Linked DNA regions of Arabidopsis thaliana. The protein of the gene in region 1 interacts with the protein of each later gene in a pairwise test. Each region holds a gene or a part of one and is shown on either strand. Other genes may lie near its edges. The genes, in order: NAC089, AT1G76520, FKBP15-1 and RABE1c.

Region 1 (7,415 bases):
TTGGTCCAGCTAAAACAATTCCCAAAGGTGAAATGATAGAGCTTCCACCAGCGCAGACAACAGAGTCCGGTGTTAGGCTCTCTTCTGAACCGGAAAACATGTATTCCGGCGGAGAAGGATAGTCTTTCCGACGACAAAACTGGTTAGCTGACAAAACAAAACATCCACCCTCAAGTGCAATATGAGTCATTGATGCTAGCCAAGTTTCTCTTGAATCAGCAGTAGGTGCACAATAAATCTCAATGCCTACAAAAAAAAACACAACAGTGTAACACACCAACATGATCAAATCACAAGCAACATACTGATACATTGTCCCTTTGTAGAAGCTAAAGAGAGACTAACCTTTGGCATACATTGCGGTTCTCAAAGAAGGCATCCTATTTTCCCAACAAATAGCAGCACCGATTTTCCCAATAGGAGTATCGAACACAGGGATGGTTGATCCATCTCCAAATCCCCAAATGCAACGTTCAAGAGCTGTAGGCATGAGTTTGCGGTGCTTACCTAAGAACAGACCTTGTGAATCGAAGAAAAGAACGGTGCAGTATAGCGTGTAGCCTTCCCTCTCTATCACACCCATAACCAAGTATACTTTGTACTTCTTGGCCATTAACGCTAATCGTTCCACTTCAGGGCCTAACACAAGATGGCACAGATGAATAAGTAGAATGTAATTTACAGTTTACACACACTTGGTGATTCAAGAAACACTATAACTAGTAGAGACTGAAACACTCAATTGTTAGTAGATGATCACACTAACAATTGTTGGGTTTATTGGCTATGAGATTGACCCATGTGAAAGCCCAAGTCACTGGGCCTTTCATAAGTTAAGCCCATGTGACTGTTGCTGAAATGATCTTATCTACAACTTCTTACTCTTGGAGCATCTGTGCCTCCCTTGAATGAAGCTTGTTGTGGAGTCACGGGTGGAGCAACCAAGCTACGTCTCTTGATGAACTGGTCAGATCTTGGTGATGCTACAAGCTCTCATGTAAGAAGGAAGAGGCATCTCCCTCAAAGCAACAAGAACCACCTTGATACCAAAAAAAAACAAGAACCACCTTGGTTGTTTGTTGCAGTTTCTGTTACAGTGTCGTAGTAGAACAGAAGCTGTTTTAAAGACGGCTTTGGTGAGAATTTATTAGATCTTAAGTGTGATAAGCTAGGAGATACGTGTGGTAGCTGAAAAGGAGGTTATGAGACACGTGAATAAGCAAAGAGAAGCATAGAAGTCATGTGAAAAGGAGTTAAAACAGAGCAAGAAGAAACAGATTTTGTAACCTCTTGTCAAGAGAATTGATGAAGTTATGCATGTATTGATGTGTTTTTAACAAACGTATGGTTTTATGGAGGAGAGTTAGGAGATCTCTTGAAAAAATCTCCATTGTTAGGGTAGTTCTTGAGTTTGTATCTTGGAATGAGAAGTGATAAAAGATAAGAGTTCATAGCTTCAAACTTATCAAATGGTGCAGTGAACGTGAATCGAACACGCGACCTAAGTGAATATAAAAGAGGGTTGCCTAGTTGTTCTATGTTGGTAGCTAGTTAGAGAACAATGGATTTATGTGGTAATAAGTGCGTGCCCTGGTATTCATGCTAAGATCCAAAATCGAAAGAAAAAAAGTGAGAACATAATCGGAGATATGGTGGAGGACTTTATTACCAGGAACATCAATGGCAGAAGCATGGTACTTGCGAAAGTCATCTCGTCCTTTAGCGGTACGAGAACCAATAGCCAATTCAAAGGTAGAGCCACGTGGATATCCACCGATGAAAGCCTCCGGGAACACCACTAGCTGAGATCCATTCTCCGCTGCCTCAGAAAGCAGTCTCTCTGCCTTATCTGACAAAATTTCGTGGATAAGGCATCGAAAGCGATCTCACCAACCATAGTGAATCAAAAATCGAGAAAACAGGAACGAACCTAGCGTGGCGGGAGTATCGTAGAAGACTGTAGAGGCTTGGACGACTGTAGCTCGTACGATGGAGGAGGAATCGCCGGCGGACATGTCAATCTCAGGGAAGATTTGATGGCCGTTGGTCTGTGGAGCCGCCGTCATGTGAGACGTTTCTTGTTGCATGGACATGAGAGAATCAGAGAAAGAGAGAGATTCCTTTTTTTTTTGTCAAAGAAGAAAGATTCCAATTGTGTTGTATCTTGTTTACTTGGTTGGTGTGTGTTTAACTTTGATATTATCGTGTATTTTATAAACTCTCTCTTTTTGTGTGTCGATTCTTTTTTAGTGAAGGGAAAAATGGGTTTAAAAAATCCTCATTTTCTCTAAAAACATTTACAATAACCATCACCTATATTGGTATTTATATGCATGCATATTGTACGATGGAGGAAGAATCGCAAGTGTATACGTCAACCACGGGAAAGATTTGATCGATGTTGACCGGAGGAGCCGCCGTGACTAGAGACATTTATTGGTGACTGGTCAGTTTGTCACCAATAAGATATATAGAGGAAATGAGTGATTCTAGTAGTAGTATCTTCTTGATGGGCTTGGTTGGTAGGTGTTTACTTGTACAACACATGATATATATTTTGATTTTTACTCTCTTTTTAACTGTAGGGGGAAATGCCAAAATGTGTAAAAAAATCCTCATTTTTTTCTAAAATCATCACCTATATTTATAGATTTTTTACAAAATTCAAAAGATAAAATACCCCCTCGATAACAAACCAACCTTAAAAACCAAACAAAGCGTTTGTTTATATATTTTGGTTGTTACTTGTTAGCATTCAATATTAATTATTGTTTACTTTTCGAAGGTATGAGGATTAGAAGATTAGATGTTTATCTCTTTTCTTAGTTTTAGACTTGATCTATATCCTTGGATGGTGTTATAAAAGGTATCGAACTCTTTCACGTATCATTAGCTTTTGACTAAAATATTGTTGAAGAGTTCTATTTTTTAGTTCAAAGGCCTATGAAAGGAGGATTTTTAATTCTAAAGAGTTTTGGTATGAAAAAACTCTTAAATCATATTATCGTTATCGATCATTGTTGATCTTGACAAAATATAAATTTGTTGCTGAAATAATTTGGAGAATTTCTTGTTATGATTGTTTATAGTTTCCGTTCATCATCAACTTTAAACTTTTAATTGTACGAGAAACTTTCAAAGTAATTTTTGGATTCACATCACCAAAAAAATTAACAGAACAGAGTTAACCACGTTAATATCACTTTAGTTTTTTTACAAATAATGATTTGAGTATAATTTGATCGTAATTTGTAACCCCATTTCATCATGGAAACAACAATAAAGTTCACTCATACATTTCGTTTTCCCTGTCGTACCTTGACACAGAAACATAGTCCACAGATTTTACTACTAATACTATTTCGAAGACGTACGAGGTTTTACGGAGGGAGATTTGCGAAAATTCACCTTTCTTGTTTAGCTTTTTTGAACATGAGTTTTTGATTAAACTTAACTATATGGAAAGTCTTGTGGAGCAGTTGAAATCCATCAAGAAGGATAAGTTTTCTTGTAATGATAAGTGGTTAACCCTTAAGCTTCAAATCAACAAAAACTTTGAGGTAACGCTTGTTGATTACGAGATCCTGAACAAGATATTTTGGGATATATAATTGTGAGCGATTGATCGATAGTAAGATTTCGGATATATATTGGGACTTTATCTGAAAACACTAAACAATAAGTCGTAAATTGGGAGTACGTAAAAACATTAAGGGTCTAAATGAAATAAAACCTATAATATAACTAGGTTTAGTGACGTGGCATGCACACGTAGATTAAGCAATGCCTTGGCAACACGTATGCAAAAACCCATATGTGTGCACCTGTGAAGTGTTCCAATAACAATTCAAAAGCTCCCTGAGCAAGTGAGAAGAGACCACACTGAGAAGAAAAATCCTTCAGGTTATCGAAAATTCCCGGATTTTACTCTTTGGGCGGTGGCCGATTTCTTACGCGCTCTTTTTGTGGCGACTGTTGTATACGCGCGAGCCTTCATGGACACGAAGGCGGTTGGAGTTTCTAAGGATACGGCGGCGTCGATGGAAGCGTCGACGGTGTTTCCTGGGTTTAAATTCTCGCCGACGGATGTGGAGTTGATTTCGTATTACCTGAAGCGGAAGATGGATGGCTTGGAGAGGTCCGTTGAGGTTATACCGGACCTTGAGATTTACAATTTCGAGCCTTGGGATTTACCCGGTTTGTCTTCGAATTCGAACCAATTGATTCTTTTGTGTCTTTCTTCTACTTGGAATTTGATTTTGTTGTTCTTCAGGCTTCAGGAGAGATCTCTATTTTGGGTGCCTAAGATATAAAGTTTCTATTTTTTGGCTCTTGGATTGGAATTGACAATTTTTTTTGTGTGTTTGTTCTTTGCAGATAAGTCGATTGTGAAATCTGATAGCGAGTGGTTCTTCTTCTGTGCGCGTGGGAAAAAGTATCCACATGGTTCACAGAACAGGAGAGCAACGAAGATGGGATACTGGAAAGCAACTGGGAAAGAGCGTGATGTGAAGTCTGGTTCTGAGGTCATTGGAACAAAGAGGACGCTTGTTTTCCATATTGGTCGTGCACCAAAAGGCGAAAGAACTGACTGGATTATGCACGAGTACTGCGTGAAAGGAGTATCTCTGGTAAAACTGTTCTCGAGAGTTTGTTTTTTCTTATAGATTAATTGTTAACCATTACATAAGAGGTGGTGACTTTGGCTACTTTTTGAGTCTCTAAGAGGAATACAGTAAAATTTTAGGAGTTTTGTCTTTGGCTTGAGTTGATTGATTATGTTTATGTAAATTCTAGGATGATGCTATGGTTGTTTGCCGGGTTAGGAGGAACAAAGAATACAATAGTGGTACAAGTCAGAAGGCACCAAAGCCAAATTCATCAGCCGAGAAGCATGCGAAAGTCCAAAATGGCGCTACGAGTTCAGGGAGCCCGTCTGATTGGGACAACTTGGTTGATTTTTACCTAGCAGGTGAATCAGGGGAGAAACTACTCGCTGAGATGGCAGAGTCATCAGAAAATCTACAGGTTTTGTCACCTGGCTTCTAATTGTTGTATGATGGTTCTTGATTGTTGTCGTTCTTCTTAATGAATGTTATGTGTGTGTGGTTTAGGTGGATAATGACGAGGATTTCTTTGCGGATATCCTAAGAGACGAAATCATCAATCTCGATGAAGCGGTGATGACAGGGAACACACCAAACGAAGTGCCAACACTAGAATCAGCATCAATGGAGATAAGGGTACTTCCTTTACCAAACATGATAGACAAACAAATGTCATCACTGTTAGAGGAAAGACCATCACAGAAGAAGAAAGGAAAAGACGCCACGGAATCATTGTCGAGCTGCTTCGTGGGTTTATACTCGATCAAATCAGTGAACAAGGCACGATGGGATGTTATTATAGGTGTAGTGGCTCTGATAGCAATGTTGTTTTATCTAGAATAAGAGGCTTATGGAAGTAGCGAAAAACAGTGTCCTAGCTATGTTTGTATCATCTTTTCTCGGACATTGACAAGGATTATATGATGTTTTTGTGTAAACGGTTTATGTTTTACACTTCTACTTCAAATCTGTGCAACCAAATCAAAACCTGAAATATCAAGCACAGAAGAACTAGTGGATATAGTTTTTACACTTCAAGGCTTATTAAGTGGTGTGTTTAATGAGAATCAGAGAATGGATAAATGATGGGGGCAAATTAGTAAATGACTATTTTCCAAATCCGTACTGTTTATCTTTCTCGTCCAGATGGTTGTTGCACTAAGATTTGTAGAATTTTCTCGCCGCCATTAAACCTCTGCTTTTGTTTCTTTCTCTCTTCTTCTATACGAGAACCCATTTTGGAGAAGTCAAGTTTCCTCAATACTCCGTCAAGCCGATTTTATTGATCTCGATCAGTTTCGTCAATTTTTCCGGTTTAAGAAACCCTAGAAAAGCTGATGATTCGATAATGAAGTTTGATTTCACTGTGATAAATCGATCTGTAAGTTGGAGATACTTAATCGTCTTCGTTATATCTTCTACGATGCTTCAATTTTGCTTTGTTGTGCTGAGGAAATTCAGTTTTTCTGTAGTATGTGTTATTTGCTTATCCTTAGTAAGTTAGTTACATATGAAGGAGATTCGTATTGAAACCCTAGGTCATTGATTTGATGGAGTTGCTTTTTATAGTATCAGCTTACACTGTTTACATTGTTCTACTTTTGGTTTTTAATTAGAAAATTTGAAGTGAGTAGGTGAATTTTAAGTCGCATCGATCTCATTTTCGATATATGTCTCAATTCGATTAGGCGTGGTCTTTGGATGTGTGTTTAGGATGGTATGAAATGGATTGATTGTGAAATTTGGAACAGGTTTTGTAAGAGCTGAATAGAAAATGTCGAGGCCGATCATGCTAGTCTTTCTTCTGGTTATACTTATAGTCACTTCTCAGTTTGAATGGAGGCAACCACTTCTTGAGCTTGATGCAGCTCCTAGCTTGTCTCAGAAACATCAGCAAATTGCAAAGAGGGAAGAAGCTGTCAAGGAGAAGGTACTTACTTCATTCTTAAACTCTTTTTCATTGAAGTTTTGTGTGTTCAGTTGTATGAGAAAGACCTGAGAATTCGTTTTGGGATTGTGACTTATAGATTAGTACAACTGTAGCAGAGATATGCATAATTGGATAGTGTCAGTTAACTTAGAATGCTCTGATGCTTAAGATTCCTATATCTGCTTCACTTGCCTTTTGAGTCAATCTATAACTATGCCTTAGTAGTTGTGTTGTTGACTTTATCCTCGACATTCTAGTCTCATGAGTCTCTGGACAAACATTCTTTGTAACTGGCTTTCATATCTCTATCTTCTTCTTTTTGAGAATGTCTATGGAATCCATCAATGACTGATCTGAGTTTTTAATGTTGCATAGAAATATTCGGGGTTTTTTTGCCTTCTGTTGTGTTTTCCCTGATTGCATCAAATAGATGAGGTTAGTGGAGAAACATAGACTTATTGGTCTTGCAACCTTAAAGTTCCATTGGATGTATGACGAACCTCATAACTTCAGCATAATTTTGAACCTGAAAATAGAAGAAGACCTGTCAATTCTTAGTTTGTTAATCGTTACAGATCATCTTGTCACAAGAGAGACATATCCAGAGGCTAAACGACCTTGTACGAAGTCTTCAAATGCAGTTACAGCGATGCAAAGGAGAGAACGAGACACGAAACGCCACTGAAACCTCCCATAATAACAAACAGTTCATTGAGCTCGAGAGGAAACACATCGTGGAAGACTAGTATTTCCTCCGGTTACATCAATTCTAATAAATAACCCAAATGGTACGTAAAAACTGTTGTAATTTACTTTTGTTGTGTTAAAAACCTTGCTGATGTTTTGATTAGAAGGATGATTTACTTTATTCACGTGTA
Region 2 (8,837 bases), on another chromosome or scaffold:
CTGCAGCCAAAGAGTAAGTCCAAAGCATAATCACAGAGCATTCACTCTCCCCAGCGCCGAATAATTGGGTCTTTGTACCTGAAAAGTAAGGGAAACTAGTGATGTATCTTATCTGAAAGAAGTAACTGTATTTTAAGGAGTTGGTTTCAAGCCATGCACCTAGATTCATGGCTGGTGGGACAGCATACTGAAGAAGAAGAACGAATTGGTACAAGGGTTCTGAGGTTACTAAATCCAACTTGTATGCTCCTCTCACGAGTAAAACACCGCTTACAGGTAGCAAAATGTAACGAGCTACCAAGACGCCGATAATGCAGGAGTTTTTCATTTCTGAACTCCTCACTTCCGACCTCCTCATTCCTTTAAGTAAGTTTCCTCCAAGAATCAGGGTCATAGCAGGAATGGCCCCATCTCTTTAGCCAAAAGAAACAAGACACAGAAAAAGTGAGTTTTTCAAAGAGATGAATCATTTGTTGAGCTACTTCTAAGATAATGAGACTATTCTACAATTACCCCAATAGGGTTAATGAGTCTTGAATCACACGGAAAGGAGCTACGGTGCCGATTATTAGGTTCCTTAAAGGAGTAATAAGCCCAATCACAAGCGCGATAATCTGAGAAAACAGAAGAAGAAGAGATAAGAAAGATATACACTAGTGTGAATGTCTTGAATGTATATAAAAAAGGTGCCACTGAAACACAAACTGCAGCAATAGTTGCTGGAGCAAATATTGACCCAAGGTTGACTTTCTTTGACAGAGAAACAACTCTTTGCTTGACTTCTTCCCACCTCCCAACCTGTCAAACACACACAAAGTCACTGCCAAAATGAATAACACTGATGATGATGATGAAGAGTTGTTGATTAATGAGACCTGATGGTTGTCTTCTTCTTTTTCTTCTTCCTTGGAAGAAATTAGTTGGACTTTGCAGCTGTCATCATAGTTGGATTCAATAGAGTGTGTGTGTGTTTCAACGGGAGAGTTTGATAGCACACGCATAAGATTTATATATAAGTCCATGAGTAAACCGTTCCCGCCTGATACATACCAATTAGTGTCATGTTTATACACACTGATAAAAAAAGCCTTGAAGAGAGACAAGAGAGGAAGAACTAACAGTCATGGACAGTGTAACATAACCCATTCCGTATTTCTCGCAACTCTCAGAATCTCCAAAGGGACCTCCTTTCTCCTTGCAAATGGCTGGGATTATAATGAGAGGCATAGTCCCCAAATTCCCTGTTTTTGGTTTCATTCATCATCACATTCATAAGCAAAACATACGATACAAAGAAAGACAAAAAGATTCTAAAATCATGTCAAGGTTTGTACCAGAAGCACAACAACTAATGATGAGACCACGAAGCTGTGAAGGAGGCTTAGTTATGACAATAACAATCCAGCCGAGTAACGAACCAATCATGAATGTGAGCAGAACATTAACCGGCATAAACCACCTGCAATGCAAATCCTCATTTTCATTATAACAAGTGAGCTTAAAGATGATGCAAAATTTGATATTGACTTACATTTTGACCAAGCTTTCATATGTAACACTATCAGCTAAGCGGCTTCCAATAAGCGAAGGACTAAACACATAGAAGACAATCTATACACAAACAAAAGAGAAATTTAAGTTAACTCTTTTAGATTATTTGTTAAAGAAGAGAGTTAAAAAACGGACGTTGTTCAAATGTTTGCGAGCATCATGACCAAGAAGATTGACTGTGTCGAGAGCCAAATAAAATCCAACTGATGTTATCAACAAAGTCTCCACAACTGGTTTCGATGAAGCTATGAACAACTCCAAAAGCTTCATCTCTACTTCCAAAAGTTAGAATCTGCAAACTTAATCCATATATTACATGATTTGAGATAAAGAAACAATGAACCAAACGACGATAACTTATGGAGAAATCAAATGAAATGGTATAGTTACCTTTTTAGAGGAAGAGTGAAGGAGAGATATAGAGTAAGTATTATTTTTGTTCCGTATGAAAAAACCAACGTATCATAACCACCAACTCTTTATCTGAGAAAAAAAGAATACAAATTATAAGGGAACCATCGTCATGCCTTTAGTCACAGCGACTAGGAAACGTGCCATGTTACTTTGTGGTTCTTGCTGAAGATGTGGATATGTCGCATTGTGTTTACCGTATGGTAAAGAACAATAACGTTGATTTTAAAAAAACTTCTGTTGTTGTCATCTATTTTCTGAAGAATCGTTTCATAAACTAAAATGTTTCAGTACTATAATTTTTGTTTTTCCACAGTTTCACTAGCTACAAATTTATATATTACATATAGTATATCTTGGAGTCTAGCATGCACTTTAGCCCTGATGTGGAAGGTTATACATCAAAATCTCAAATATGACGTGATGAGACATTAATTGATCTTAGAGTACGATTAGGTTTGAGATACATGGACACAGATGTAAAGAAATTTATCACAAAATCCACCAATTAGAGCTTTTTGTCACCACTCTTTTCTCTCATCATTTGTACTCACTTGACTGATATGTAATAGTCTATTAAACCAAATGTAACAATCTGAAATTTTTCTCAGGTGTACCAAACTAAACAAAGGAATAGCTTTCTGCCATGGCCACAGTCACAAGTAGTCAAGTAGATTGTTCTCTGGTTTTACCCTGTTTCAAGAGAGAATGATTTGGGTATCATAACAGAGATTTTAAGCCTCACAATCTCTTGATGGATCCCAAGACAATGAGGATCAAAATAGCAGATTCTTGATGAGGCTGGACTTGATCTTCTATCTGTAAGTTACAGACTGTAAGTCCAAAGTTCGTATCAAAAGACTTATAAGTATATGTTCTCTATTATACTTGATCCAATCATCTGGAAGTCCAAGAACAATTCTTGAATCAATGGAACAAAACAATACATGTAACATGATGAGTATGGGGGTCTATTCTAAGCTACAAGCCACATGAAGAATGTTGGCCAAACAGTGAGTGCAATCGAAGCCAAAGAGTAAGTCCAGAGCATAATCACTGAGCATTCACTCTCCCCAGTTCCAAATAACTGAGTAATTGTACCTGCAAGAGTAAGTGAAACTAATGAAGTGATCTTATCTGAAAGAAGTAACTGTATTTTTTAAAGAGTTGGTTTCAGAGCAATGAACCTAGATTCATGGCTGGTGGGACAGCATATTGAAGAAGAAGAACGAATTGGTATAAGGGCTCTGATGTAACTAAATCCAACTTATATGCTCCTCTTACGATTAAAACACCGCTCATAGGCAGTAAAACGTAACGCGCAACCAAGACGCCGATAATACTGGACATTTTCATTCCTGAACTCCTCAAACCTTTGAGTAGGTTTCCTCCTATAATCATGGTCATTGCAGGAACTGCCCCATCTCTTCAGCCAAAAGAAACAAGACACATAAGAAGCTTTCGAATGAGTGAGTTACGTTTTTCCAAGAGATGATTCATTGTTGAGCTAATGCTAAGATAATGGTCTAATTTTAGCTGCAGTTACCCCACTAGAGTTACTGAGTCTTGAAGCACCCGGAGAGGAGCTTCCGTGCCGATTATTAGCTTCCTTAAAGGAGTAATGAGCCCGATCACAAGTGCAATCATCTGGAAACAGAAGAACAAAAAGGGTAATTAGAAAGATTACACTAGTGTGAGTGACGTCTCAAATGTATAAAACAGAGCCATTGAAACACAAACCGCAGCAATAGTTGATGGAGCAAAAATTGTCTTAAGGTTGACTTTTTGTGACAGTGAAACCAATCTCCGCTTGACTTTTTCCCACCTCCCAGCCTGTCATATACACACAGTCACTACCAACTTTGATAAATGAATAGTTACTGATCATGTGCATATGTGATGAAACCTTTTGGTTGTTTTCTTCTTCCTTGGAAGAAATAAGGGGAACTTTGTAGCTGTCGTAGTTGGATTCAACAGAGGGAGGGGTTTCAACGGGAGAGTTCGATAGCACACGCATAAGATTGTATACATAAGTCCATATGTAAATAGATCCCATCTGATACGTTACCAAGTACTGTCATGAGACATACTGATTACAAAACCTTGAAGAAGAAGAAGACAAAGAAGAAGAAGAAGAAGAACTTACAGCCATGGAGAGAGCAACATAACCCATTCCATATTTCTGGCAACTCTCAGGATCTCCAAAGGGACCTCCTTTTTCTTTACAAACAGCTGGGATTATAATCAGTGGCATATTCCCCAAATTCCCTGTTTTGTTTCATTCATTACCACAGTCATAAGCAAAACACAAGTTAAACAGATTCTGAAATCAGAAACATTCATGTTAAGGTTTGTTACCAGCAGCACAACAACCAAGAATGAGACCACGAAGGTGTGAAGGAGGCTTAGTGATGACAATAACAATCCAGCCAAGTAATGAACCAATGATGAATGTAAGCAGAACATTCACCGGCATGAACCACCTGCAAATCCTCATTTTCATTAACCAAAGAGCAAAGATTACAGACTCAAGATGCAAAATCTGAGATTGACTTACATTTTGACCAAGCTTTCGTATGTAACACTATCAGCTAAACGGCTTCCAATAAGCGAAGGACTAAACACATAGAAGACAATCTATATACACACACATCAAGAAAATGATAACAAAACAGAGACATATTAAAGTTGAATCATTTAGATTTATTAAAGAAAAGAGTAAAATTAAGTGATAATTAACTGACGTTGTTCAGATATTTACGAGCATCATGACCAAGAAGATTGACTCCATCGAGAGCCATATAAAATCCGACTGATGTTATCAACAGAATCTCAACGACTGGTTTTGATGAAGTTATGAACAGCTCCAAAAGCTTCACCATCTTTTTACTATCAACGCGAGAATCTGCAAGTATAAGTTAACTGTAGCAGAGGAAACAGAGAATCAATGGAGCTGCAAGAACCGCCGAAGAAAACAGAGCAATCCAAGAAGGGAATGAATTTTTTAACCGATTTAGAGGAAGAGAGAGATTTATCGTCAGTGGTACAGCTAGATGACAGTGAGAAGCCGCCGTATCAGAACTTTCTCACTCTCTCTCTATGAAAGAGAAAGAGCGTCTCCAAAATTTGGCCTAGTACAACACTTGCATGGTCGCCTCTTCATTCTATTTAAATTCTTGTCTATCCACAAAATGCTTTTTTCAAGAAACTAATCTCTTTATTTGGGGCAAACTTAGAAACTAATCTTTTTAACTAAGGTAAATTATTATTCTATGCATATGGGAAGAGAATTTCATATTTTCATCCTACATATTTTGTATGTACAACTTGGTGTCCGCATGATCCGGGTCAGACTTTTACATCTTCTTTGTTTTTGGAATTGTTTTGTTCCGTATAAGCAACAAAATAACGTATCATAGATTCATAGTTAGCTCCTTTTTGAATTCCAACTTTCACAACTTATGAGTTATGATATATCTCGTAAGTTTATGTCCTTTGATTTTGTATATTTTCCAATTTTTTGTAACCTAGTTTATGTACAAAAAGAAAGAGGAAACAGTTCCACAATTTTTGGAAAACTCAACTCAAGCGGGGTCTTTGTTTGTTTCGTATATTGTCGTATAACACTATTGAGAATAATAAGGCTTTATCTGAGAAGACGAATTTATATGGTAACCGTCGTCATGCCTTTCGTCACATCGACTACGAAACGTGCCCCATGTTTTTTTCTGGTTCTTGCCCAAGGTGTGGAGATATTGCAAAGTGTTCATCGATTGTTGAAGATTTATTATTTATTTTATTTTATATATTTTTTTAAAAAAAACATTTTTCTTTTTGTCATCTATTTTTAAGGGGAATTGTTATAAAAATGTACATTTTCATATGCGTCGTAAGAAATTTGAAATGGAAACAAAACTGAATGAGAATAAGATAATAGTGTGGTGGCTTAAATTAATTGTGTGATGGAAGCGTACCAACGAAACGATCGAATATTAATGATAACGGAAAATTCAAATTAGTGTGTGAGGCTGCGACCAGTGTCCGTCCATAAAATTCAATGCAAGATATAAATGTAACAACCCCAATATCAAAATAGTCGACTAATTCTTACCAAAAAAAAACAATTAGCGAATAATTAGAATTATCATACAGTGCTAAAAATATGTATATATATATATACGAGATACAAATATTTAAGTATATATTGTCAAAGTGCAAATTTTAGTGATTTATTAATGAAAAATACACAATAGACTGGATAATTGTAGAAGTGGGATATATTATACACACTACAATAAAAATCTCTTATGTGACTCGAATCCTATAACTCTTCTCATGTGAAGCAAGAGATATTAGACCATCCTTAATTCCTTATATGTAAGCTTATTGTATATGCAACAAGCCTAATGAAGGCCATGTCATGAGCTATCTTCTTATTTATCTATCTTATTAGAGCATGAATAAACTTGTTTGTATAGGATTTCTACTCACACAAGAGACTTGTGAATATGTATTTTTAAAGAGGTTAATTAACAGTATTTGATATTTCTATGATCTCATAGCTATGAATATGATGATTCAAAGAACGTGAACAAAAGATATCTGTAACAAAAAGAAAAGGACAAAGATATGTCAAATTGAAATGCTCCACTCGTTTTAATGTCCGTGAATGAAAATAACAAACTTGACATATATTGAAAATCTTGATTTGTACTATTGGAAATGTGGGGCATCAAAGACTATTATTCCCTAAAAATAATGGTCCTTAATTCATTAGAATTTTGGACAAAAAGCTTTGCTTAATTCTGTACCATTTTGCTTCGAATGAATATGCTCATACTATTTGTTATCCTTTGGATCCACACCAATTCATTAAATTGCAATTATTTGTCACTTTGACAAGTACTATACCTACATACTGAGAAAATCATCATCACCATAATTGTAAAGTTAATCACGTTAATTATATGCTAGCTAGTCTATAATTAAAGATTCAAACACTATATTTTTTTGGTACAACAAAAACTCTATATTGAACATGAACGCACAATGCTTCGATATTTCTTTCTCTATCTTTAGTAACAAATAAAAACACAACAACAATCGAGACAAGCAGAAACCTACGTTGTCTTCCGTGTTTAATTGGGCCTAAGATTATATTCATAATATACCTTACATATTGAGCCCATAGTTTACAATAATGGGCTTTGTTATGTAAATGGGTCGTAAAAGTCCAACTTTCTGAAATATCATTAATAAGTTTTGCTATTAAGATCTTCGTTAAGAGTTAATACAAGTAACAAGCATTAATTTCTTTCTTAATGAATTCATGTGTTCATTATATCATCCGTATAAATCTTTTGATCTGCATATCTCTCCGTTTAATTGATATCTTTCCGTTTCTCGCTTCTTTTTCTCCGCCGGCGTCCTTCCATTTCGCCGGCTGCTATCGAACCCTAACCCGCGACGACTCCACCGTCTCCGGCGTCTTCTTCTTCCGGCGAAACCGGTAACCGTATCTTTTGTTTCTATGTATGTACTCCATGATTTCGTGAAGCTCTGCTTTCTAATGCTTTAGTCGCCATCACTGTTTGAATTATAGCGAATCAGTGAGAGAGTAGGACTCAGAGTTTTGATGCGTTCCAATTCTCGATTACATGCGTCTTGCATTCTCTCTGGAATTATCAATAGTGCGTTTCTATTTATGATTTCTGGATTTTGAATTCTGCGTTGTTGTTGTGATGCTATGTCTCAGAGAATTAGCTTCATGATGGCGGATACTGAAATGCAAGAGCAAGATGTGCCGTCTGGTACCAAAGGTGTTGTAGAGGAGCCTTCAGAACTAGAGAAAGACCTAAACTCTATTGAAAGACCTAAGTCCCCTGTTCCAGAGGATACGACTCATACTTTGGATAGTGATGTTCATTTATCTGATGCTCCCATTGCTAATCAAATTGAGGCTAATGAAGAGGTTGGTGGTCAGAACAGTGTTGATGGGAGGAATGGTGATGTTGATCAGTCTGAAAAGAAGATTACTAGTGATGGCGGTCAAGAGGAGACAACACTTGGGGAATCAAATCCTTTGAAGGGGGATCCGTCGAGTCCTCATGTTCCTGAAGAAAGTGTTAAGAAGTGGAAGACATGGTTGTTGAGTGATGCTGAGGTGATGAGAGCACTTTTCTGTCACATTTCAGACAACTAGTCTGCCTGCATTTGCGTTAAGCGTTGAATATTGTTTTTTGTGAGATCTGTGGTCATCACAGTGGCTCTATTTCATCACGAGTTCACGTTTTTATACAGGCCAGGGAAGTTGATGAAGCAGGGGCACCACAGGATCAAGAGGCGTTTATTAAAGAAGTGGAGGCCTTCAACAAGGAGAATTTCCTGGAATTTAAAGCCCCAAAGTTTTACGGACAGCCCTTAAATTGTCTCAAGTGAGTTGTTGGAAGTGTTGCTTTAATTCTTGGAAAATTCCATACTTTTGGTTATGCCTTGTTTGACGTGATAACGTCTGCATGCTTTACTTTGAAATGTAGGCTTTGGAGAGCCGTTATCAAGTTAGGTGGCTACGATGTGGTAATGATCTACTTTCGAACTTCCAATGATTTTATGTTTACTAAGATCTTCTCCTCCCTCTTCCCCTTTAGGAGGTTAAAAATCTTTTAGATTATTATCTACAGGTCATGCGATTTATACGTTTTGGGTTGTATAACGTGTGAACTATAGCTAATGAATGAGAAGATGATTTAAGAACAAGGAATGGCTTCCGGAAATAATTAAGTCAATGCAGTTATGTGTTAATTATGTTAGGTCTGTGTTTTGGCAACTGAACTTGCTTAGTGTCATCTACTCTGTTTGAAAGTTTATACTCAAAT
Region 3 (7,630 bases), on another chromosome or scaffold:
CTTCCCAACTTTAGCAAAAGATAATGTTTGAACTAGATGGTTAGGTAGGAAAAAAAAACGAGCAAAAATATGCAAGAAGTAGATGGTCGACTAATTAAATTGCACTAGACTTGGAAGTTGGAACATAAGAGCACATAAGTGGGTAACACATTGCGTAGGCTGATTCTCCGAGATCCCTTCTTTAAAGGATCCATCGACTCCAAAGTCTCCAATGATGTAAGCTATGTTGCGCTTATCTTTGTAGTCTTTATCAAAAACCACAGCGACTTTCTTCTCCTCGTCAATGAAGAAACTCCCCAAACAAAACTGAAACGGAGGGCCAATGAGTTTTCTTATACTCACTGATAAGAACACCTTGCTGTTCCACGACACCGCGTTGGGCTCAATCGTAGACGTAATCCAGATCTCCATCTTTTATTTATCCCACGGCTGATATAAAACCGCAAGCTGCTCTTCTCTAACATTAGATACACACATAACATCTTCAGATTTAACAAACACAAACGGAAGAGTCAAAAGAGGCCCAAATGTCTCTCTTGTGAAATCAAAACAGACTAAGAAATAATCGTCTGTTTCGGAATATCTCTCAGTAGCAAACCAGTATGCATTTCCCTTGAGAGACACGCCAAGGTTCATATAACTTATCGTCCAATCTGGAGTGACATCAAGAACCCTCCATGAATCAGAGTTAAAATCGTAGATTATGAACTCATCCATAACCCTCATCCAGTAAGTAACAAACCTCAAGATTTTGTGGGATTAGCTGCTAGCTCTTGTTGTATCCGAGAGCATACATATATTATACCTATTGAATATGTGGCAGTTATGTGTGGGTTCGATCGTACGGGTATGTCCCCAATCATACGGGTTCCAAACCACTAGCCTAGTCTTGTCTTTGGTGATGCTGATGAATAACAATAAACCGTTGCAGTGAAAGACTTGAGATATATCAACTTCATCGCCTAAACTAATAAGTTTAGCTTCACGTTTTATACATGATGATTCAACCTTGTTTTGAAGATTGACTCTCATCAATTAAACCCTAAAATTCATCATCACGACCATCATAAACTCTCTTTCCTTTGCAGCTAATTTTGCTTGATCACCAAGGTACTTCTTTGCAAAGCTCTCATATTTGGATAACGTGTTCCACGTTTTGCAAGAAGATCAAACAGTTCTCAGAGACGTCAACGGAATTCTACAGAGCACCTCTTCCGCCAAATCCCTTGGAAGATTGGATATCTTAGTCATTCAATGAGGATCGATATAGCGCAAACTCGTTAGTTCTCGTTCTCTTTATGGAAAACTAGTTAGGTTAACCTTAACAAAACAAATATAAAACCAAAGAAGTATTTTACTTGTTCCCTGTTTATGTGTGATTTATGAAACAAATTGAAGATGCAGAAACAAACCCTAAAGGAAAGGATTCGATGACAATAGACAGAACCAAACAAATAAACCCAAAAAACTCAATTGGGTCGGTCAATATTCACTAAATTAGACTTAAAAGCCCAAAAACCGATCCAACGTGGGACTGAGAGAGGGGCACCGTAAACAATTGGAAGATTGTACATGTTTACTAAATTGGCCAATGTTTTTCTGATTATCTGCGATTGCACGTCGTTCTATTCTGGCCAAGTTGTCATTTTAGAACTGCCAACATAACTAATGTTATGACCAAAATATAATTATTGTCTTCAACTAGCAAAGTAAATGATTCTAGGCTGTTTAAGATTCAAATGCCAACATCGATGACTACTCAAGGTTTCCTTTTAAATGAAAAACAATTATGGTGTAATCAAAGCTCATTCTTTGATTTCGCTTCGCTGGATGGTTCTCCGTTCACAGCAACAAGCTCGGTGTCGAATATCAGTGTCGCCCCACCTGCAATTCACCATCCACTTACACTCATTTCATGGAACATCTAGTCTCAACTGTAATGTCACATTCTTAACAAATGCAGCTAGGGTCGAAAATTTACACAACACAACAACTCTCAGTATCTATCTCCCTATTCTTGGTTCTGATGCACTTACGGTACAAATGCGTTATTGGTTTGTCATTTAACGTGTACAGCAATTTTTATTTGACTGATCAATTCAGTATCAATGTTCTCTCTAGCCTCATCATTAGATAAAAGGACGGAAATAAACAATCTACTAGCCAGGTTCATAACATAACATACCCGGGATTTTTGGTGGTGAGCCGTTATCACCATAACCAAGCTTGGATGGGATTTTCAACTTTCTCTTCTCACCTACACAAGCTCCCAATAAACCCTGGTCCCATCCTGCAACATTTCGAATTAATTGCATTACCTTCAATTTTGTCAGTCAAAAAAAAGGTAACAATAACGAAGGAAAAAGATGGAGTTGATGCGATGAAATAGCAACAAACCTGGGATGACTTGACCAGTTCCAAGCTCAAACTCAATAGGGTCACCTCTCTCAAAACTTGAATCAAAGACAGTTCCATCAGTTAACTTTCCCTGCAACAGAGAACTACGTTATTCGCCAAGCATTTTTTAGATCAGATTCATTCATTATTATTGTTTGTTCTAAGCTATCCAATATCAACATTTTTACTAAATACTAATGAAGTTCATTCCACATTTTCAGCAATTCACCATGCCCCTGATGTTATATGAACATTCTTAAATGTTGCAATAAGAAAAAATCCCTTCCATGGCTCTTCTATTAGCTCAATCAAAATACTATCAAGCAAGCACGAAAGAACCTTCCCAGCAATAAGTTAAACAACTAGTAGTAGTAGAAGCTTCAAATAAAACTTACCCGATAGTGAACCTTGATCTTATCCCCTTTGTGAGCCTGGAGATCACATTTCTGAGGCTTGTACTGTAAAATAGAAACAACAATTCCATGCAAGGGTCAGGAAACTGCATTAACCAAAAGAGTATAGAAGCCAAATCCATTTCCAATGTCTTCATTTCGAAAACAAATGCAAAACTCAAGTATATAGCTTGATGCAAATTGCAAAAAACTGTCTAGAAAAAGCTCTAGAATGATTGTAAGTAATAATAAAACTATAAAACGTAACTATGACCATTATCATCTTCTAATCACGCAAATTGAGCTCAAATCCAAATGAATTTGAAGTTAAACTACGTAATCATGACCATAAACATCTTCTAATCACGAAAATTGAGACCAACTTCAAATGAATTTGATATTAAACTACGTAATAATGATTAATGACCATTATCATCATCTCATCACGCAAAATTGAGATCAAACTCAATGTCACTCGAACAGACTCATACACAGAGAATCAAACATGGAGTAGATAAGATCATAGACGTGGAAATAGCGTTTTGTCTCACCTTAACACCAATCTGCAACTCTGTCACATCACCTGACTTCTTCGCATAAGCTGAAGATCATCATCATCATCATCACAAATCAACGGAGATCAGATCTATGAGATTGAATCAAATCGAAATCGATAAGGATGTAAAAGACGCAAAAAGAGAAGAGATGTATTTACCTAATGTTAGAATGGTAAGCAGAAGCAAAAATCCAACAGCTTTCATGGCGGATGCAGAGCTCATCATCGTCTTCGATCTCTACGTCACTGATTATACGAAAGATCTGTTTCAGGGTACTCTTTTGTTGTGGAAGACAACTAAATGTAATGGGCCTATCATCGTATTATATATAGGGGCCATTAAGCCCATATGTGTATCCACAGATTCACCTAATTAACGTGTTTTCAAGCGGTGTCCCAAGAAGAAAAAACTAACGTGTTTTAAGCGGCAGATCACGGAGTCATTCACATTGTACTTTGTACCTTTGTTTCAGTTTCATTGAATGAACAAATGTGTACTCCAGAGTCATTGAACAAACTAGAAAACGTAACTATGACCATTATCATCTTCTAATAACTTATAAGCTTCCAGAAACGATATATGTTACAAATCAATTTTTAAACCTTCCAACCAAAATGGAGTTTTTAGAACAAACATGTAAAGTTTTCATGAAATCAGAACTAATGCATTCAAGAACAATGTGTTCAAATTCTTTTATGGGAAACATGATTCTTAGCAATGTGTAGTAGAAATAATTGCAGCATTGTCCATGAGTCATTGCTTTGTATTTTGTTTCAGAAGAACTGCGAGAAATAATGGACTGTTTCTTTGACTTCCCAAAAAACAAGAGAATCCCCTATAAAGATGCAGAATCCAGTCAGAATCAATAAAACCACAAAGAGATATATCTAGAGCATTAAAATAGAATAAACTGTAACCAATGCTCGTATGAGATATTGAGCTAACATAAGAATCTTGTGACCTGTCTGAAAATGTAGATCCTGTAACAGCAAATGTTATAGTTGTGCATCAACAGTAATAATACACAAAAGGGCGTTAAGAATCATGCTGAACAGCTTTTGGTTTGCAAGTAGTGTCAGTAACAATTGATATCCTTGATTGTCATAAGACCTCATTTACACAGAACATGATACAAAGACAACATGATTTTGAATCCTTGAATCAAATTGCAATTACAGAATATCTCTAAGCTATCATGGCTTGAGATCTTCAGTCTTCCAATCACACTATGCTTCAACCTGTTATGTATCTCAAGAACACAGAATCTTGAAGCTCAAAACTTGATAACCCTTATGATTCAGATCATTACTGAGATTTGGGGTTCACTAACTAGAGTGCAGAACACAGACTTTGCAACAAACCCCCCCCATCTTGTAGCCCTTAAGCTTAGCCGATTGATCGCCTTTCAGATAAACAGAACCCAATCAATCATCCCTTATTCAAAAAATAAACCTCATCCATCAACGTTCTGTAATTCCTTTCACCCATCACCGGATCCCGTTTCTTCCATTCCTCAACCATCTCAAGAGCTTCACTCCCTCTACCTCCCCTACACAACTCCGTCAACACCGTATTATACGTCAACATATCCGGAGACAACGAATTCGCCAACATATCATACACAACCTCAACAGCTTCATCCAATCTCCTCTCCATAGACAAACTACAAATCAAAACCATATAACAACTCCCATTCGGAACCATTCCTTTGACTTGCATCTCCTTATAAAACCCTAAACCCTGTCCAACTCTACCTTTCTCACAAACCCCTTTAACTAAGTAACTATAAGTATAAGCATTAGGCTCAGAGCCATATAAAGCCATCTCTTTAAACACTCTTATAGCTTCATCAACCTCAAGACACTTTGCATAAGCTTTGATAATCATATTCAACACAAACGTATCCGGAATCACACCATTCGATTTCATCTGCTTCGTTAACGATCTAACGGCGTGTAGATACACATAACACACATTCAATTTGTTGAATCTCTTAAGCAATGAACTTAGTAGCAAAGTATAAGTTTCAAGGTCAGGCTTTGAATCATCTGATCGAAGCATTTTGTTATAAACATCGAAAGCTCTATTGAAGAGAAACTTACGACCACAACAGAATCTGATGATGCAATTGTAGAGAGGAACACTCATTTCACAAGCTCCGGCGATTACTTCTTCGATTAACGTTTCGACGAAGTTGTTTCGTTTTCCGGTGATTGCTTGTTTGATCATAGTGTGGTAAGCTTCGTGATTGTGTTTGTAGCCTCGTTGTTGAGCTGTCCATCGGAATATGTCGAGAGCTAGATCTGGATCGGATTGAGCTCGTAACGCTATCACAACGTCGGAGTTTGTGAATCCTGGTTTTAGATTCTGAATCCATGTTTCGAATTGAGTTTCGAGTGGTGTTCGGGTTCGGATCCGGGAAGGGGAAGTGTGTGATTCCGGTGAAGATGAGACGGAAGAGAATGATAGAGATAGGTGGTTCACGGCGGTGGAAAGAAACGGCGGAGATAGATTACGGGAGCGATTTGTGGAGGTGAGAAGAATGAGGCGTCGGAGTGTCGCCGACATCGTACGGAACGAGAAGCTGATTCTCCGGTGTGCCCGTTCGTAGAAGATGTCAAATAGTAGGGTTTATCGAATTTTGAAATTAATTACCTTTTGTTTAGATAAACTGGAAAAAGAATAAGGGAAAAATAACTAAAGAAAGAAAATAAGAGTTATATAAATTAAAATTCAAGATATCAAAGTGTGTTAAACGATATGTTATTTTGGGTTCGAAAATTGAATTCAATCAATCAAAGATTTTTAAAAAAATAAAATTCAAACATAGTTTCATTCAACTAAAATTTTATTTTATACTTTTTTTTCTTCACAATTATATCATTCTACTTTAATGATTTTTTTTGAATTATATATGTAATCTATTCTTATTAATTATTATAATGATACTTAACTACGCATATGTGATTACGATGAACAGTTCTTACGAACAACGATTCCACGCTGCAACTCATTCCACAATATTCAGATTTCAAGGAATAATTATGTATGTATGACATCCTTGTGATGGACATAATTATGTATGTATGACATGCTTTCTCTACAACGCTCAAACCATTACAAACAGCTCTACATGTGGTATTTTGGACATTCGATAAGCTTTGCATCATTAATCTTATTTTTTAAAACTCAAACCCCAAATCTAGATGTAAAAATATTAATAAACCTTTGGTTAACCACTATATCAAAGAGACTTTCACTTACTTTAATGATTAGTTATTTAGATTATGCTAAAGACTGTATTTATAATAGTGAATACAGAATACCGAAAAAGACAATTCTAGATGTTGATTAAGGATACATTATAAAAGTAATTCTTACATCAATTAGAAAAAGAAAAAGAATTTAAATAAAAAATAAAATAAAATTGATTACAATTTATAACTATACAGAGCGGTTAAATAAAGATTACTCTTCTGTAATCTCACAATAATTATCAATGGTGTTAGAAAAGGAAAAATAAAATAAAGATTACTCTTTTGTAATCTCACAATAATTATCAGTAATGTTAGAAAAAAAAAAAAAAAAAAACTAGCATTAGGTTTCGTAGGTTATATATAAAGCATAAAAAGAAGGACACAAACAAAACAAAAGAAGCAAACGATGGATACATTGTTCGTCAACAAAGTTTTAATTCCGTTAGGACTTTTCGCCGTATCTTGTCTTTTTTCCCTTGTGGTGTTGACCATTAAGTGTCGTCGTTATGAGGATCCATACGATCTAGGAACGAAGACTCGTTGCATCAATCTCCTTCAAAGTCTTAATTTATATTTGTTTTTATGCACTTGTATGATTCTTTTCTTCTTTTTCTGTTTATGATTATACGTTTGTATTTAAGATTTGTATTTCATATATGTAAGATTTTGTAAAGTTTGGAATCGTTTGAATTAACGTGAAAAAATCATCGACCAAGCTGTATCGATAGTCTATTTTGAATTAGGGTTATAAATTTTCTTCTTATGATTCTTTGAATATATGTTTTGGTTGCCAAACGAATCTTTACTTCTCGCATGGTTTAATTATATTCAAAATCCATATGCCTTAAGCCTATCGTCAAGTCTGTGGCTTTGCCAGCTCCGATCAGTTTCATGATCATCAAAACTTCAATCCAAAACACATTATCCTTTCTTTCTTTTCACGACCAAGATTTTTAACTTTTTGAATCATTCAATACCCAAATTTTGCTTTGTTAACCCATGCATGTGTCCCTTACACGGACTTTAA
Region 4 (8,226 bases), on another chromosome or scaffold:
CCTCTACTGGTTTCTTCTCTGCCGGCTTCTTCTCTGCCTTTGGTGCCATTTTCTTCACACGAAAAAAGTTTCAAAGAAAGATTCTGAATTTTAGAAGATGGAGTCGTGAGATCAAGTTTTGTGTTTGTTGTTTAGACGATTCGGTAGCTCATGTATATATATGACCATGAATTAGATACAGATTGGTTAATTCTCGTTTCACGAGGATTGATGACGTGGAATATATTACGTACCGTTAGATTAGAATAAATCCGTCGTTGGCAGTGAACGGCTAAGCATCTCTCACCTTTTTAAATGGGCCATTAAGCAGCGAATCAAAATTAATTTCGAGTTTTATCTTTTAACGGGCTAAAATGGGCTTAATACCTAAATAATAATCTGTTAGTCCTAGACGTGAATCAGTTAAGAGAATGCCATCAATGTTGATACAAAGTCCATGTTTGGTTACAAATGGGCCTAATTATGTATCAATAATGGGCCTAGTTATGTATTTATAATGGGCTTAGTTATACATGAATCTGTCCCGTGAAAGCGATAAAAGCGAAAACCCTAAAAATAGTTCCGTCTTCTGTTTAATCTCTTTTTCAAGGCCAAGCGAGCAAGAGACGTCGGAGCGGCGGCTACTACTTAGGTTTCAGGTTAGTAATCGCCGGAATCTCCATCTCTCCTCTAATCCGATGAACTGCTTTATTGTTTTGTTGGAACACCGGCTTAGTTAATCTCCCCAATTTGATGTTTCTCCAGAGAATCTAGATTCCAATGTCATTTTCAGAGTGTGTAATTTTTAGGGAATCGAATTCGTTCCCTCTGTAGATGTTTTTATGTACATGTCAATAAGATTCGTGAAGCTGTTGATTTATGTTTTTGCAGTTTTTGAAATTTTGAAGAATGGTGAGAATCAGTGTGCTCAATGATGGTCTTAAGAGTATGTACAATGCAGAGAAGAGAGGAAAGAGGCAGGTTATGATCAGGCCTTCTTCTAAAGTTATCATCAAGTTCCTTATCGTCATGCAAAAGCACGGTATGCTAGTAACTTTGCAGAGCTAGCGTTTGATTCCTGTATACAGTTTTCAAGTGTAATGATGCTTCTTGGTTTTTAGGTTACATTGGCGAGTTTGAGTATGTTGATGACCACAGGTCTGGTAAGATTGTTGTTGAGCTTAATGGAAGGCTGAACAAGTGTGGAGTTATCAGTCCTCGTTTCGATGTCGGTGTTAAGGAGATTGAAGGATGGACTGCTCGTCTACTTCCTTCCAGACAGGTTAGTCTAGAGACTATATAGTAGTGGTACCAATCAATGTTTTAGCTATTGATCTGCTGCCTTACTTTGCTGTTCCTATTATGGTTTAATTGGATGTTTAGTGTCATTACTTTGCCTTACTTTATCTTTCAATGTTACAACTTCATTGAACACTTCTCTATGTGCAGTTTGGTTTCATTGTTCTGACGACCTCAGCGGGAATCATGGATCATGAAGAAGCTAGGAGAAAGAACGTTGGTGGCAAAGTTCTTGGGTTCTTTTACTGAAGCAGGGTCTCGAGATCTATCTTATCGGGTTATAGTTTGGTTCTCTGTAAGTCGATTGACCTCACTGTCAAAGTAGTAGTTTTATATGTTGTGGTCACTCGGATACGTAAAAACTTGGAGATGAGTAGACTAATTAATTTCAGTTTTTGAATTCGTTAGACTTGCGATTTATGAAATCAAAATCATCTTTCTTGACTTATCGTTATATGTGGCATTTACTCATTTTAGTCTCGTGCTCTTCTTGTTTGTTTTCTTAAAACATTTTAATATGTTTTTCATTTACAATGTTCATCAAAATACAAACAAATCTCTGAGGGAACTGTGAAAATTCGAAAAAGATTTTAGAAATACTGACAAAATAAGTTAAAATTCTAAGAAACAAAATTTAATAGTTTTCCTTCCAACAAGGTTTCTATGCTACATAGGTATAATTTTAGGTATTCTTCGTTAATAAATTTGAAGGAAATAACTAATAACGCACAAAAACCCTAAATCAAAAACCTAAGAAGACGTTTACCAGAAACAAAAAAACTAAGAAGACAATGACGACGAAAGAGAAGAATAAATCATCAAACTCACCGCCTCCGACGTCGTTTTCTTCGTTACCGGACGACATCGTTCTCAACTGTTTGGCTCGTGTCTCCAGATTCCATTATCCAACTCTATCCCTAGTCTGCAAGGGTTTCCGATCACTCCTAGACTCCCGTGAGCTCCACGCAACACGATCTTGCATCGGAAAAACCGAGAGTTTCCTCTACGTCTGCTTAGACCTGCATAGGAATTGCTATCCAGACTGTCCTCCACGATGGTTTATAGTTTCCCCGATTACCAAACAGAAACTGAAACCTATCCCTTCGGTTACTTGTCAATCCTCAACCGTTGTATCAATCGGTTCAAAGATTTACATAATCGGAGGCTTCGTTGATGGACATAGTAGCAGGAGATTGATAGTACTCGATTGTCCATCTCATGGATGGCGTAGACTCCCCGAGATGCGTGTACCTCGACAAAACGCAGCAGCTGATGTAATCAACGATAAGATCTACGTGATTGGAGGCTCTAGTTCCAACAATATCGAGGATTGGGGAGAGGTTTATGACCCAAAGACCCAAACTTGGGAGCCAGTATTGCCCACAACACTAGATCTTACTGTTCAAATGAGTGTGGTTCCAGGTAGCTTGGTAATGAGTGGGAAAGTTTATGACATGAATGGATTGAAGCTTAACTTTCAGAAGAATATTTGCTTGGTGGAGATAGAGAACATGATGTGCCAAACAAAGGTTTGTGAAGGGGTGTTAGTTTGGTGTGAACCAGAGGAAGATCGTGGGTGGTGTCCGGTTGATGGACTTGAAGGACTTCCCAATAGGCCAACTTCTCCTGGTTATCTTACCTCGGTGGCACATTCCGACCGAGGAAGAAGAGTAACAGTTTGGTGGGAGTCGGCTGTGTTACATCGTCTAGGTCCCAAATGGACTAAGGAATGTAAAACAGAGATTTGGTGTGCAGAGATTTCGTTTGAGAGACGCGGTGTTGGAAAGGTTTGTGGATTTGTTGAATGGTCTAAGAATGTCTTTACTAAGGATGACTACAAAACTTATAAGTTACCTGCTTCTCTTTCTGATTTCTTCTTGAATTCTACCATTGTGACATATTGATCAATGGAAGTTTATGTTAATTTTTGAGAGAGTTTTAAATTCTTTTGTGGGGATTTTGTTTAGAACATCTTGAGTATAGATTTTATGATAATGAACGAAAATACTGGTGGTGTTTATGTATCTCTAATAAATATGCAGTTGCGTAAGAACATAAACATCAACACACTTCTTATGAAAGAGTTATATATTGTTGAAAAGTATAGTTGTATAGTAGTAGTATATATTTCCAAAGATGACTTCAGATTACATTAGTATACAGTAGTAGTATTTGATACCAAATATAAAAATAAAAATTACTATAGCATTGTTTTAGTCCAGCTAATTGATTTTAAAGTAATTAATAAAAGGCCCATAAGGCTTCGTGCCTTCTTCTTTCTATATAGGCCCTTCAAAAAAGAATCCTTCTCTCTTTTTCTGCGCACTCCTTCGTTTCCAACTAACGTGCGCAGTGTATCCTATCGTGCACGCGAAGCAGACGAAGAAGAAGTAAAATAGAAGAAGCCGGGAAACAAAAGCTAAATCGGGAACTGGCGCATTTTAGTCGTCCGCCATAACCTTCGCTCTCTGATTCTTCCGATTACATCGGTTTTCTTCTCTCTCCGGTACATGATCTTCTTCTTTCCCGCAGCCGATTCATTCGATTTCTCCCTCTTTTGTTTGATCTAATTCGATTTCGATGAAACTCAGATTTTGATCTTTGAGTTTTTGTTTCCTTTAGATTCAATGGCTGCTCCACCTGCTAGAGCCAGAGCTGATTACGATTATCTCATTAAGCTTCTTTTGATTGGAGATAGCGGTACGTTGATCTGAAACCTCTCCGATGTTTTTATCGTCGATCCGTTGAAATTTGTTGAATCTGTTTGATTTCCATTGAATCGATCTATTCCACTGTGATTTTTGTTTGTGATTAGATCGTTGTGTGGATCGGTGTTTGTATTGAGAGATCTCTGTAACCTAAGGTTTTTTTTTTTTGTTGCAGGTGTTGGTAAAAGTTGTCTTCTTCTACGTTTCTCTGATGGATCTTTCACCACTAGCTTCATTACCACCATTGGGTTTGTGTTTTCTCTTTGCTTATGGAGATAAATTGAATTCTGTGATGTTTGTTTTGGATTCTGTTTTTACAGAGTCTTGTTTCTCTATTTTGCTTTGATGTAGCATTGACTTTAAGATAAGAACGATTGAGCTTGACGGTAAACGTATCAAGCTTCAGATTTGGGATACCGCTGGTCAAGAGCGGTTTCGGACTATCACCACTGGTGAGTTCATCTTTTTCATAAGAATTGCTTGCTGGATTAGTACTTAGAGCATTCACAACATCAGTAATGAATCAGATTAGATAGATTCTCGAGGAGATGAACACTTACATGTGCTATGATCTCTTGTACAATGCCACTTGACTGATTTATTTTGTTTGGCTGATTACTTTACTTGGTCTTGTATAGTTGATGTTTATGGGCTATTTTCGACACTTCATAGTTCATCTTTTCGTATAAATGTACTCACTGATCACTTTGCTTAGCATTCACCATCACAATAGAAGTCAAGTTAGAAAGATTGTCAAGATGAGATTGATGACAAACGCCTATAAGTAGTCTAAGATAGCCACTTATAGTTCTAGGTAAAGGGGATGCATTTGTGCAATGCCAATTTACTGATTTGCTCTTTTTGGCTGGTTACTTTTGTAGGTACTGTCTAGTTGATATTATTAGGATATTTAGGCAGTTTATACTGATCTGTTTCTGTTGTTTCAACACCATTTTGACGATTCTTTTTCTCTCGCATTTTCGCAGCTTATTACCGTGGGGCAATGGGCATTTTGCTGGTGTATGATGTCACAGACGAGTCATCCTTCAACAGTAAAACTCCCACCATCAAGTCTTTCACTTACTGGTTTCTATAAATCTCCTTAACCAAAATGAACATCTCTTTTACTAACACGATTCTTGACGTTATTGCAGACATTAGGAACTGGATTCGTAATATCGAACAGCATGCTTCGGATAATGTTAACAAGATCTTGGTAGGGAACAAGGCTGACATGGATGAAAGCAAGAGGGTATGAAGCACACCACCTTTATCCCTGTTCCTTATTCACGACTGATCCTAATAATAATAGCTTCTTGGTCCTGTCAAAATTTTCAGGCAGTACCTACAGCAAAGGGTCAGGCTCTTGCTGATGAGTACGGAATTAAGTTCTTCGAAACAGTAAGTCTAACAATGCTCTCAATCTTCGAAACTAGATGGGTAGTGTTTACATTGCTTACACATCTAGCTATATATGTGTTGTTGTTGCAGAGTGCCAAGACAAACCTAAACGTGGAAGAAGTTTTCTTCTCAATAGGGAGGGACATTAAGCAGAGGCTTTCAGACACCGACTCGAGGGCAGAGGTTTGTTACATCTCTCTCTTTCACATCTTTGCGTTGTTAGGTCTGAAAACGCATTGATCATTCATGTTACGTGGTCAATTGCAGCCTGCAACGATCAAGATAAGCCAAACGGACCAAGCAGCTGGAGCAGGGCAGGCCACACAGAAATCTGCATGCTGTGGAACTTAAAAAAGTTTTAAAAGTGAAGTTTAAGTCGAAAAAAGTTTGGGGGTGAAGTGAAAAACTAAGATATCGTTGGGTGCTTATGTAATTTTTTGTTTTATGCCAACAATTCTGATTCGTTCTTCTAAATTGTCCTTCCTATTTGTACGAAGGTTTAATCGAAACTTGTATTTTTCTTTTCTATTACTGATTTTTTATGACGGTGACTGAATTGTTTATGTTGGTCATCACTTCTCTCTATATATCCTCTGTTCTTAATTTTTCTCTTGCTTCCTCTTTTATCAAGTCTTTAAACATTACTTCTAATACTCGTAAACTCATCTTTGACACAACCATAAGCAATACAAAACCATAATATGTACACTGCCTGATTTATGAGTCGTAAACGTATAATTGTGTTAGCAATCCAGTGATGAAGAAACTTATCATGTTTTAGTTGCACTACAGTTACTATAGCTGACACTTATATTGTAGTTTCAACACCAGTTAAACCATTCTCATAGTTCAACAACATTCTAGGGTTAATAAAACGTGAAACCAAAATTTAGCGAACAAGAAAATAAATCTTGAATAGTATATCAGATTGTATTCAGATCATGTATTCACATCGAATAGTAAGATAAATGGATCAACAAAGACTAAAACCATGTAAAAAGTACTACTCTATGTAAGATTATCAATAAAACTAAAACCCTAACGAACATGAAAAATCAGTACATCGTTCTTCCCAACTCCAATTCCGTGTTGACAAAGCTCTCCACCGAAGTTAAGTCGAAATCCAAACACGCCACTCTCTTCCCACTACTCGATTTCTTCAAAGTCGTCACCGTTGTCGTCTCCGGCATGAAAGAATGCGTAACCAATACGTTAGAAGCCTTTTCTCGTTCTTTCTCGTTCCTATGTTTCCTCATGTGACCACCAAGAGCTTGTCCCATCGGAAACTCCAAGCCACAAATCGGACAAGTATGAGCCGTCGTCGTAGTCGTAGTTTTAGGCTTCTTCTTTGGTGATCCAGGAAGTGATTTATCGTCACTGTTGGTTAGTTTCGAGTGGCTTGCACGGTGGCCTCCTAAAGCTTGGAACGAATCGAAGTCTCTCTCACAAGTCTTGCATCGGAAAACACGTTTCTTTCTTCCGTCGTGTTCTCCAATTCCTGATAACAACATCAGACAGCTCGCCGCCGTATCCACCGTCAGATCACGATTATCACTTTCAGCAACCATGATTTTAGTTTCGAATCGAGCGAGTGACTTTCTAGGGTTTTGTTTTATGCTTGTGTGTGTTGACTCACTCCTCTTATATATAGGAGACTGGATTGAGTAAAGACGGTTTTAATTGACGAAAATACCCTCTCAAGACTTGCTGCCTAAGTTAGTAAAAATTGAAGCTGCGGTGTAAAGATGTACATGTAGAAAATCAGAGTCACCGCTTTAACACTAAAAACTCGGAAAAATGGAAATATTCATTTGTGAAAGAATATATTCTTATTGCTTTCCTCCACTAATTAGACAAATATTGAAAGACGTACTATAACCAGTTTTAATTATTTTTATAAAAAAAACAAGTTTTAATTAATATATAAATATGTATATTATATATAAAAAATATTGTAATTATCTTAATAAATATTTTATTCTAACGCGGTCTCTTCGGGTTCGTGTTCCTTCTTAAGCCGCCTTTTACTATTTGAGATTGGGCAAATCTACTTGGTACGTAACTTATCCGTATTCATTTATCACCAAGAAAAAGAAAAAAACTTATTCATAGTCGACATACTTCTAGAACTTTTTGTTGGTTCGATAGTCAATATTTATGTTCAGTTTATTTGTGAAACTCATGTCCTAGTAATTACACTTACACGCATATTATTCATTTGTATATACTTCGGAATCTTCTGACCTACGTCTTTTTATTCGCAATGATCAATAGAACTCAAGACTTGAGAAGATCATCGTGTCATTATCTAACTAAGATTTTGTCACAGTAACGTACGTAAATGAGGGACAAGTAGAGGTGTGTGGCTCTCGCACGAGTCACCGAGAAGGGAACGAATAAAAAGTGTGAAAATAGTGGTTGTACGGAAACTAGAGGGAAACTATTAGAAGCAAAGCAGAAGAAAAAAAGAAAATGAGAGAGTGGTTTGATGCGACATTTTTGATACACTTCCACGCGGTTTCTTCTTACCACAAATCTCTTCACATGTTTTTATTCACAAATTAGGTTTATCTCTCATATTCATCTCCCACTAAATAAGCAAATAGAGACAAGGATGTTATATCTGTAAGCATTTAGCTAATATCTAATATAAGAATACATATAAAATTAAAATTAATAGAAACATTTTATTGTTGAAGTTTACTACACACAGACTTCTCTAAGCATCTTACCTATTTATTTTATGTGCTAGTTTGACTGTTTAAATTAATTTTAACTTCATTATTTATATTCGACACATTATTCAAATCTCAATGCAATGATTCAATCTCTAGTTTGA

Evidence for each region.
Region 2: the proteins of NAC089 (region 1) and AT1G76520 interact in a two-hybrid assay, tested with the Arabidopsis thaliana proteins (one large-scale study listed by BioGRID).
Region 3: the proteins of NAC089 (region 1) and FKBP15-1 interact in a two-hybrid assay, tested with the Arabidopsis thaliana proteins (one large-scale study listed by BioGRID).
Region 4: the proteins of NAC089 (region 1) and RABE1c interact in a two-hybrid assay, tested with the Arabidopsis thaliana proteins (one large-scale study listed by BioGRID).

Annotation. Positions count from the first base shown.
Region 1 is NC_003076.8:7,374,079-7,381,493, reverse strand, and holds NAC089 (NAC domain containing protein 89), read left to right. Parts: upstream 1-3,717; 5' UTR 3,718-3,995; coding exon 3,996-4,197; exon of another isoform or gene 4,198-4,377; coding exon 4,378-4,631; intron 4,632-4,797; coding exon 4,798-5,028; intron 5,029-5,114; coding exon 5,115-5,450; 3' UTR 5,451-5,655; downstream 5,656-7,415. Other genes in the region: NIT4 (nitrilase 4), read right to left, coding at 1-246, 346-639, 1,670-1,849, 1,931-2,093; AT5G22280 (peptidyl-prolyl cis-trans isomerase G), read left to right, coding at 6,382-6,537, 6,968-7,222. UniProt on the Arabidopsis thaliana protein: Transcription factor involved in plant cell division.
Region 2 is NC_003070.9:28,711,391-28,720,227, reverse strand, and holds AT1G76520 (Auxin efflux carrier family protein), read right to left. Parts: upstream 5,464-8,837; 5' UTR 4,845-5,463; coding exon 4,707-4,844; intron 4,600-4,706; coding exon 4,520-4,599; intron 4,446-4,519; coding exon 4,321-4,445; intron 4,231-4,320; coding exon 4,109-4,230; intron 4,019-4,108; coding exon 3,869-4,018; intron 3,796-3,868; coding exon 3,703-3,795; intron 3,610-3,702; coding exon 3,509-3,609; intron 3,389-3,508; coding exon 3,150-3,388; intron 3,064-3,149; coding exon 2,939-3,063; 3' UTR 2,318-2,938; downstream 1-2,317. Other genes in the region: AT1G76530 (Auxin efflux carrier family protein), read right to left, coding at 1-78, 160-413, 514-614, 706-798, 876-1,088, 1,120-1,241, 1,335-1,459, 1,532-1,611 and 1 more; AT1G76510 (ARID/BRIGHT DNA-binding domain-containing protein), read left to right, coding at 7,730-8,125, 8,263-8,396, 8,499-8,538. UniProt on the Arabidopsis thaliana protein: Involved in cellular auxin homeostasis by regulating auxin metabolism. Regulates intracellular auxin accumulation at the endoplasmic reticulum and thus auxin availability for nuclear auxin signaling.
Region 3 is NC_003074.8:9,178,632-9,186,261, reverse strand, and holds FKBP15-1 (FK506-binding protein 15 kD-1), read right to left. Parts: upstream 3,647-7,630; 5' UTR 3,572-3,646; coding exon 3,505-3,571; intron 3,391-3,504; coding exon 3,341-3,390; intron 2,856-3,340; coding exon 2,793-2,855; intron 2,489-2,792; coding exon 2,398-2,488; intron 2,291-2,397; coding exon 2,186-2,290; intron 1,885-2,185; coding exon 1,799-1,884; 3' UTR 1,583-1,798; downstream 1-1,582. Other genes in the region: AT3G25221 (uncharacterized protein), read right to left, coding at 1,470-1,574; AT3G25210 (Tetratricopeptide repeat (TPR)-like superfamily protein), read right to left, coding at 4,775-5,914. UniProt on the Arabidopsis thaliana protein: PPIases accelerate the folding of proteins. It catalyzes the cis-trans isomerization of proline imidic peptide bonds in oligopeptides.
Region 4 is NC_003074.8:16,914,003-16,922,228, forward strand, and holds RABE1c (RAB GTPase homolog 8A), read left to right. Parts: upstream 1-3,524; 5' UTR 3,525-3,784; exon of another isoform or gene 3,785-3,900; 5' UTR 3,901-3,905; coding exon 3,906-3,978; intron 3,979-4,161; coding exon 4,162-4,234; intron 4,235-4,337; coding exon 4,338-4,438; intron 4,439-4,972; coding exon 4,973-5,038; intron 5,039-5,140; coding exon 5,141-5,238; intron 5,239-5,324; coding exon 5,325-5,387; intron 5,388-5,477; coding exon 5,478-5,570; intron 5,571-5,654; coding exon 5,655-5,738; 3' UTR 5,739-6,016; downstream 6,017-8,226. Other genes in the region: HTB11 (Histone superfamily protein), read right to left, coding at 1-49; RPS15AD (ribosomal protein S15A D), read left to right, coding at 889-1,021, 1,101-1,261, 1,429-1,527; AT3G46050 (Galactose oxidase/kelch repeat superfamily protein), read left to right, coding at 2,070-3,182; AT3G46070 (C2H2-type zinc finger family protein), read right to left, coding at 6,443-6,955. UniProt on the Arabidopsis thaliana protein: Involved in membrane trafficking from the Golgi to the plasma membrane.